Linked DNA regions of Schizosaccharomyces pombe. Changing the gene in region 1 together with any one later gene gives a genetic interaction. Each region holds a gene or a part of one and is shown on either strand. Other genes may lie near its edges.

Region 1 (5,145 bases):
CCTTGCATTTTGTATGCACTTCATGTGTTATTTCTCCATCGAAACTGTTAATTAGTGCATTCTAATTGTTTTATTTCATAGCTTCTTCGAAGCTTCGTGTAATCTTATATTGTTTTAAATAGCTCAAAATTAACTGCAGTTTTTGTTATTTGATAATTTTACGATTAATACATAACTATTGTTTAATTTAATATCTAAATTTTTTCATGTCAACCGTTTGAGACAAACTAAACCCATTGATATTAATATAATTAAATTAGGCGGATTTGATCGTAAACTAAATATAAATCTATAAGGACTCGATGTTGCTTGTTTTGTTATTTTAGGCCCCTTTTTCAAATATGGCTCCAATTCGCCTGTTAATATTCAATTGTATCCTATCTTAGCAAGCTGGTGTTTTCTCTCCCAAAACCTCAAGTTTTAGAAAATAGCAATTTAATGTAGCTGCTTCAACACTCCACCCTACTATTTATATCATTACTAAGAACGAATATAGAGTCTCTTTTTTATCTTTAACTAAACGAAGATTCAATTTACTTTTATTTATAATAAGGATTTTTATTGCCCGCTTGGCATGAGTAAATAATGATCCGGTATGGAAGATCTATTAAACAATGCTAAACAGCATTTGTGTATGAGGAATCCAAAGCTAATTCGAATTGGTTTGCGTCAAGTCGAATCTATTGTATATCATGTTGCGAAACCTAGTCATGATGATAAAATTCCAAGAGAAATTTTCCTAAAATTACAGGATTCACCATTGTATAATTCTACTACCCCTTGCATTTACGCTTTGGACAGTCTCCTTGAATATCAGCAGAATGAAGAGGCATACGAAAAAAACTTTCAATTCATTCAAAAGCTAATTGATGACTTACTGCATGTGATTGAAGGATTGGTTTTAATCCATCCAAAATCACAGACGTTATTTGAAGATAAAGCTACCTTAAGGTTATTTATTCATTTATTACAGCCATCTCAGCCATCTATGTTGCAAGTGGCTGCAATGAAAACGCTTGTATGTATCATGGCAGATCGTCCACTGGCTATTAGGCTTTTTGAGCAGATTAATGGCTTGCAGCAGATATGCGTAGTTTTTAAGCACAAACAAACAAGTCAGGACACCCGATTTCAAATTCTCGAATTTTTCTATTTCTATTTATCCCCTGAACCATATTCTATAGATGTCATTGCCTACAGGAAAACGCGGACTGAGAAACAAGCTTACCTATCCAAATATCTTTCTAACGTACAAGGGCTTCGAGATGATTTAGATAAGTTTCAACCATTTGGCAAGTTAGACGAAACATTCGACTAGTTAGATGCAATGCCTGGTGCAAAAAAATGTTTAAAGTCTCATTGTTAACTTATTTTTGAAAATTTAGTATTCATTTACTAAAGAATTTCTAATGTTAATGTTAAATTATTAATCGATCATCTTACTATTGAAAGTATTCCAGCATCCTATAGCATTTGTAAAAAGTCAACCAGTTTTACTTTCATACTACTAAGAGATCCCAAACCTCCAGAATCCAGCTAAACGAACTGTGAAGACCGACAAAGATTCCGTCCCAACATGTGATATCAACTAAACTGCGTCCCTCCCCAATATCGTCTCGACGACGCAAAAAACTGAAAGAAGGAAGTCTTTGTGTGTGGGCCAAAGATGACACATTTGCACCGATACTAGAGGATATCTCATACGAAGGAGCAGTTCCTATATTTGAAGAACCCGATAACGAAGAAATGTTAAAACTGGGGGATGCAAACGTTCCATTGCTAGAGGAGGCTGTTGTTTTTGAACGGGAGGAGGAGTAGTCATTCTTTGTATTGAAAGAAGAAATCCTTAGAAACTGGACTATATGAAGAAACTTTTCAGAAATAAAACTATATCGCAAAATCAAATCTAACTGATTTGGACAAGTAGCAATAATCGCATATCTTCGAAGTCCTCCCCGGGCAGAGGGATCTCTTAAAGAAAAAGACTGACTAATAACGTAACCGTTATCTTGGTCTCCAAAGAACAAAGGATTTGACATAGAATCGGAAGCTTCAGATAGTGTTGAATATTCACAGCTCAAGCAGCGAACCATTAATCGCTTAAGGGTAGAATATCGTTGCTGAGTATGTGGATGTTGACTAGACATGTATAAAACATCGGGGTTTGTACTTGAGTTTGTATAAAGTCGTGGTTGAACATCAGGTACAGAGAATTCAAGGGGTAAAACAGTACTACATGTAACACAAGATGATTTTCTCGAAATAGGGCTTTGATTTCGAGAGTATGAGTTATGAAATGAGTTTACTCGGGGGGATTCTGGTCCTTTCGATACCTTTTTACATAAATAATCTTCAGAATCAGCTTTGAAAAGTGATTCGGTAGAACTTTGTAAAGATTGAGAATCGGCATTGTTTCGATTATCGAGTTCATTTTTGAAGGCTTCTGGTGAATCATTACCATTCTCCGTTACGCCAATAGAGCGCTTAGATGTAGGATGCTCAAAAAATTTTGAAACGGTAGAGCGATGCAATTTTTGAGTGCAAAAAATAATGGAAGGCCCCTCGGCCTCACAGAAATGTCCAAGAGCAAAAACAACATCCATTATGACTATTATGGAAATTTGGTGAGATAAAAGTGTTTAGTTGACAAAGGCGATCTGAAAGCAAATGTTTAGAAAGCGACAATGAACTTGAAAAGTTTTGATGGTGTATAATAGCTTCTAAATAATGCCTTCAAATCTAATGATTAATAAGGTGATACGTTTTAAAGTCGATAAAATGTAAGATGTGCATTCGTTCGAAAACAACCTTTTGTACTTTACCGATTTACCAAGCAAACATTCAGTTATACTGAGGTATTTCGAAAAGATTGAGGATTAGAAAAAAAATGGATTAAAGAGCTTGAAACGCTCCAGATACTGAAATTGATATGAAAATTCCTGATAAATTAGAGGATATATGTGTGCGTCTTCATCTCACACAGTACCAAAATATAATAAACACACTAGAATCTGTCCAGTTTACATTAAAAGAATTAAAAAAAAAGTTTTTCTGTTTGGAAAAAGCGGTTGATTTTCTCACTTCAAGGAATAGAATGTTCAGAAGTTTATACCAAGTTCCACATTTCCGATATTGTAGGGGAATGCTGAAGAGTCGCAAATGAGGGAATTTACGAAAAGCTAGTAATTAAGAAACTTCAAAAATGAAAACGACCTTCATAGAAAACAAGTAAAAATGCGAGTGCGTTGAGAGGGGGAGGAAGAGGTTAAAAACTGACGAGCTACAAAAAAGCGTAAGGTATCAATTAGTGCCTCTACTGTTTCGATTACTAAATACAGCCACAAACTATTGATAGTAATGTATATAAGAATTGGTATATTAAATCGTGTAAAACACAATTGCAATATGCGCGCGACCGGGCAAATCCAAGTCAGCTAGCTACCTAAGTGATACCACCAACCAATGTTTGGGTACACCCCAACACTACAAGATATGCTAACGTTTTAATTAACACAAAAACAGATGTAATTTTATTTAAATTCTGTAGAATTATCATTATATAAACAAAAAGAATGCACCATTTCTATCTATAATGTGGAAGTCTTATTTTTAAAGACAGGAGCAGCATAAATTTCAGGAGGATCATCCTTGTTTTCCATAATATAATTTTCAATCTCTTCGAGCTTCCAAGCATATTTGGCACACAACATGTTACAATTAACGGCCACGGTAGGATTGTGTAAAGCATGTTGCAAAGCCATTCTTGCAACATGATAACGAGAGGTATTGTTACACATCATCATATTAAAAGGAGTGGTAGTAGTACCTTCCTCTCGATAGCCCTCCATAGTGACCCGTGTACCTTGTATGCGATCAAACAAGAGAGCCTTCAAGTCCATCACATAACCGTGATAGTTGAAATGAACATGGCGATCTTTGGTAAACAAAGAATCAAATTCCGCAGGATTCATACCATGGGGATGTAAGCTCGAAAGTACCATCAAGTCAGTGACGTTAATGACACGCACTCGGAGCTCAGGAATGTCATTTTGAAGCATCTCTGCGGCTTTAACTACTTCAAACATAATCTCATTTCCGACGCCGGCAATAACAACATCAGGATTTTCGCCATTATCTGTACTAGCAAACTTCCAAACACTAGCACCGGCCTTGCAATGATGTTCGGCCTCTTCAACAGATAGGTAGGCTGGTTGTGGATTTTTACTAGAAACCATAAGGTTGATAGTATTCTCAGACTTCATGCATCGGGCGACGGTTGCTAAGAAGCAATTGGCATCCGGTGGGAAGTATACGCGGCTAACACCAGGTTTCAGAGAGAGCATAGTGGTGATAAACCTGGGTGATTGATGGGAGAAACCGTTATGCTCTTGTCTTGCCCAAGTACTGGAAGTAACATAGTTCAAGCTACCAAATTTTCCATGCCATCCGGTCTCCAAGCCCATCTTCAAAAATTTGGAGTACTGAACAAGCATACTAACAACAATAGTCATAAAGGCTTCATATGAGGGGAAAATCGCGGTACGTCCAGTTAAAGTATAACCCTGCATGAAACCTTGGCAAAGGTGCTCTGAAAGGACTTCGGTAACGCGACCACGCTTTGCCATGAGCTCTGGATCAGTTTGCATGGTACGATATGAGTGCTTCAAAGCGCCATCTAATTTATTACTTTCCAACTCATCGGGTGAGAAAATTCTAAGGGTTGAATCGTTGGTTACGAGGAGTTCATCAAGATATTGACCAACGACCGAAGTGGCACTAGTGGTTTCTCCCTTCTTGACACCGTATTTTTTCCAATCAGGTACCTTCAAAGGTAGATAAGAATTGTATGTCTCATGACGCTGACCCATGCGCTTCTCACGAGGCGGAAGATGCTCGGTGATGCCCTTAGTAGGAAGTCCATGTTCGTCTAAGAAGTCTTGGCAGTTGTAGCTGTTCAGCCAATCCTTTAGAAGATTGCGCTGGTTGGTATCGGTGCGAGCCAATTTCAAAGGAACTTGGTGAGCACGGAAGGTACCTTCTAAAAATTTGCCATTCAAATACTTGGGACATCCTTTACCCTTAGGGGTACGAAGGATAATCATGGGCCATCTGGGTTTGATTTCTTCTCTGTTAACACGAGCGCGA
Region 2 (3,319 bases), 1.9 Mb from region 1:
TAAACAAGCAAAAGCGCTCGCCAGGACAGACCGTGTCTAAACGACTGCATAAAAAGCAAAGGGTCGTTAGTAATCCTGATTTGAGTTTACCGTCTTCACCGGTAAAACAAATTTTAAGAAATGGACTTCAGAATTCAAAGTACGGTTCTCATAAGACAGGACTGGAAAGGTCCGCGAGCTGTAGTAGTATTGATGCTTCCGCAAACCATTCTTCCACTACCTATCGGGAACAAAGATCGTATTTGATGGAGGAAGGATTAGATACTCAGCCAATTGTACCCCGTGAAGTATCCTCTGGTCGAGAATTGGATTCAACCAACCATACTATTGGTACAGAACGTGCTTTTTTGATAGAGGAAGACGTATCAGAAGATGATGAAATTCAAATGAAAAGTATACATGAACTTCGCTTTGCTGGAGAGCAGCAAAGGATCGTTGATGAAATTGAATACTTAGTGGACGGAGTGACTTTCTCAGGTAACTCTTCTGCTTCTCGCTATTTGAGTTTAATAGGAATCGCTGAAAAAATGTTTGACAATTCATTTCGTTTATGCTTAAAGTCGATACGGGATGTCTTCTTGCGAATATTTGAAGAAATTGATCCTAAAGATACTTTACACACTTTTTTGCAGATTTATATATTTGCAACTATGGCTAATGAAATGGATTGCATGAGTTCCTTGCTTGATGCTTACTCAAACAATGTTAAACTTCTTTTGCAAACGGCTATTACTTTAGAACCGCAGGTACCGGTTTCAATTTTGGCAAAAAGCTTACCAAAAAGTGTAAAGGGAGCCGTTCAAGAATTCGTTATAAAGGCAGAGCTTACTTTTAGTTTTAGCAATGAGTCTCTTGCTTCTTCTGATTCTATCAGTCTTGCAGCTATCGCTCTTATGAAGACGTCCTCGGGAGTTTTTGCGGAAAGCGAGTTGTTTACCGAATTAATCAATCTTTTAATAGAAAAATCCTACCCCATCTTGAAGGAAAACGATGGAAGCAATAACTTCTTACTTCATGCACTTTGTAGTTCTTTAGAAAAATTTACGGATTTCCAGGGATCAGAAAAGATTCAGAAGGTTTCACAGATCTTATCCTCAAAGTTACAAATTTTAATTGATGAACACAATGAAACAAATTCACCAAAAATTGACGATACAGTTGTCCATGCATGCAGTGAAAAATTGTTGCGTACTTTGATTCAAACAGTTAATTCTAACAGTGATCATGCGTTAGCGGTTTCTAAATCAGAAGTCCCATTGTTTGCTTATAAAATTTTACAAAAGTTTTCTAATTTTTCGTCCGATGATGAAACTACACGAGAACTAATTATCTTAATCCTTGGTCTTTTACTAGGGCTAGTTGAGGAATCTCATGAGTTTATTCAAACTATCACTCATGTTGAAGGTAAGTTCCTTTTATTAATATTTTTACTAATTCTATTTAGTTTCTTTCGGAGCTTCAGCACTCGATGTCCTCATTTCGTTTTATCAAAAGAACGTAAGTTGTACTACTTCTGTTGTAAGACATTTCTAACAAATGTAGGAAAGTATCGTAGAAATTAGTGGATATGTCGTAATGATTTTAAGCCATTGCTTTTTAAATGATCCCAAAGCGTTTGCCCAACTCAAGCCTTTGATATCTCAGTTTTACGAATCTCTACATAAATTTAAAAATTTTCATTTGAAATTGAAAGAGGAATTAATGATGATGGGTTCTAATGGACTAGCCATTGTTTCTATAATTGATGAACTACATAAATCGTTGCAAGACTACTTGCGCAGTGACTTGGTAAAATGACCTTTGCGGCGCGCTGGGAACGTGACATCCACAACATCGTTGCTTTCACTCACTTTTTTTTACGATCACTCTATAGTTAATAATTTGCCTTTTTAAATATTATAATCTTGAAATTTTCTAATTTAAACAATGGCTCCTATTAAATCTCGTAGAATTGCTGTTCTTGGCAGTCGTTCTGTTGGAAAGTCCAGGTAAGCGTTTGATTGAAGTTTATGCGCAAATAGGTTTACTAACCATTTTTTTTAAATAGTTTAACGGTGCAATATGTTGAAAACCATTTCGTTGAATCGTATTATCCAACTATTGAAAATACATTCAGCAAGAACATCAAGTATAAGGGTCAAGAATTTGCTACTGAAATTATCGATACGGCTGGTCAAGATGAATACAGTATCTTAAATTCTAAGCATTCCATTGGAATCCATGGCTATGTACTCGTTTACAGCATTACTAGCAAATCTTCTTTTGAGATGGTTAAAATAGTTCGTGACAAGATATTGAATCACACTGTATGTCAAATTATTAGAATTTTTAAATTTTTTACTAACCTACTTGCTATTAAGGGTACTGAGTGGGTCCCCATTGTGGTTGTTGGCAATAAGAGCGACTTGCATATGCAGCGTGCTGTTACCGCTGAAGAGGGAAAAGCATTGGCCAATGAATGGAAATGTGCATGGACAGAAGCTTCAGCTCGCCATAACGAAAATGTTGCTCGAGCATTCGAGCTAATTATCAGCGAAATTGAAAAACAAGCAAATCCTTCCCCTCCTGGTGATGGAAAGGGTTGTGTTATCGCCTAAGCTTCTGCTTGAATTTATCATATTATGGATTAATTTATTTTAACTGAATTAACGATTTTATCTTTGCTAATGCAAGATATGGGCTTACATTACATGAGGTGATACTTTGCACACAAACGTGTTTTTTTACACATGGGTTTACAAGATTTCGACTCTTTATTTCAAATATACAAGTACCTAAACTATGGTTTTAAAATTTAGTCAATGTAATACATAGTGGAGAAAGTACAGCCAGACATTGTAGACGTAATTTGTTGAGTTAGCTCTTCGGAAGTTTTAAACTAACCAAATTAATTTTTAGACATAGTATTGTTTATTAACATCTATACAAAACTATTTTGAATATTTCCCAAAATCGACCTTTTACCACTTTTCTTCATGAATCACTTAAGCTTCAGCTTTCCGCAATCGAAAGTGAAGGATATCCGTTTTACCTGGGACAATAACATCAGATTCGCCGACGTTTCCATTTACACCCACAATAGACATTGCTTCTCCACCCAATACCATTTGAGATACCTGTCCAGCAGTCGTTCCTTGCTTCACTAAGATGCAATCTCTGAAAACACCTTCATTAGGAGAGTTTGCAAAATTGTGAACGTTTTTAACGGGAAAAACTGGAATCAAATTTAAAAGTTCCATTGCCTTTGCTAAAACATTACAAACTCCAGTTGAACCGTGTCGAAATAATACCATGTCTTGGAGGTCTGCGATACGGGTTT

What was found. A genetic interaction does not mean that the proteins touch.
Region 2: mutations in bhd1 (region 1) and rhb1 are lethal when combined (synthetic lethality), as found in Schizosaccharomyces pombe (one study listed by BioGRID).

What each region holds. Positions count from the first base shown.
Region 1 is NC_003423.3:2,331,675-2,336,819, forward strand, and holds bhd1 (folliculin bhd1), read right to left. Parts: upstream 3,268-5,145; 5' UTR 2,604-3,267; coding exon 1,500-2,603; 3' UTR 1,319-1,499; coding exon of another isoform or gene 596-1,318; 3' UTR 554-595; downstream 1-553. Other genes in the region: SIN component Cdc14, read left to right, coding at 596-1,318; SPOM_SPBC24C6.09C (phosphoketolase family protein), read right to left, coding at 3,588-5,145.
Region 2 is NC_003423.3:473,105-476,423, reverse strand, and holds rhb1 (Rheb GTPase Rhb1), read left to right. Parts: upstream 1-1,926; coding exon 1,927-1,988; exon of another isoform or gene 1,989-2,047; coding exon 2,048-2,306; intron 2,307-2,360; coding exon 2,361-2,597; 3' UTR 2,598-2,754; downstream 2,755-3,319. Other genes in the region: wpl1 (WAPL family protein), read left to right, coding at 1-1,404, 1,445-1,497, 1,543-1,797; SPOM_SPBC428.15 (Obg-like ATPase), read right to left, coding at 2,985-3,319. UniProt on the Schizosaccharomyces pombe protein: Binds GTP and exhibits intrinsic GTPase activity. Regulates entry into stationary phase when extracellular nitrogen levels are adequate for growth.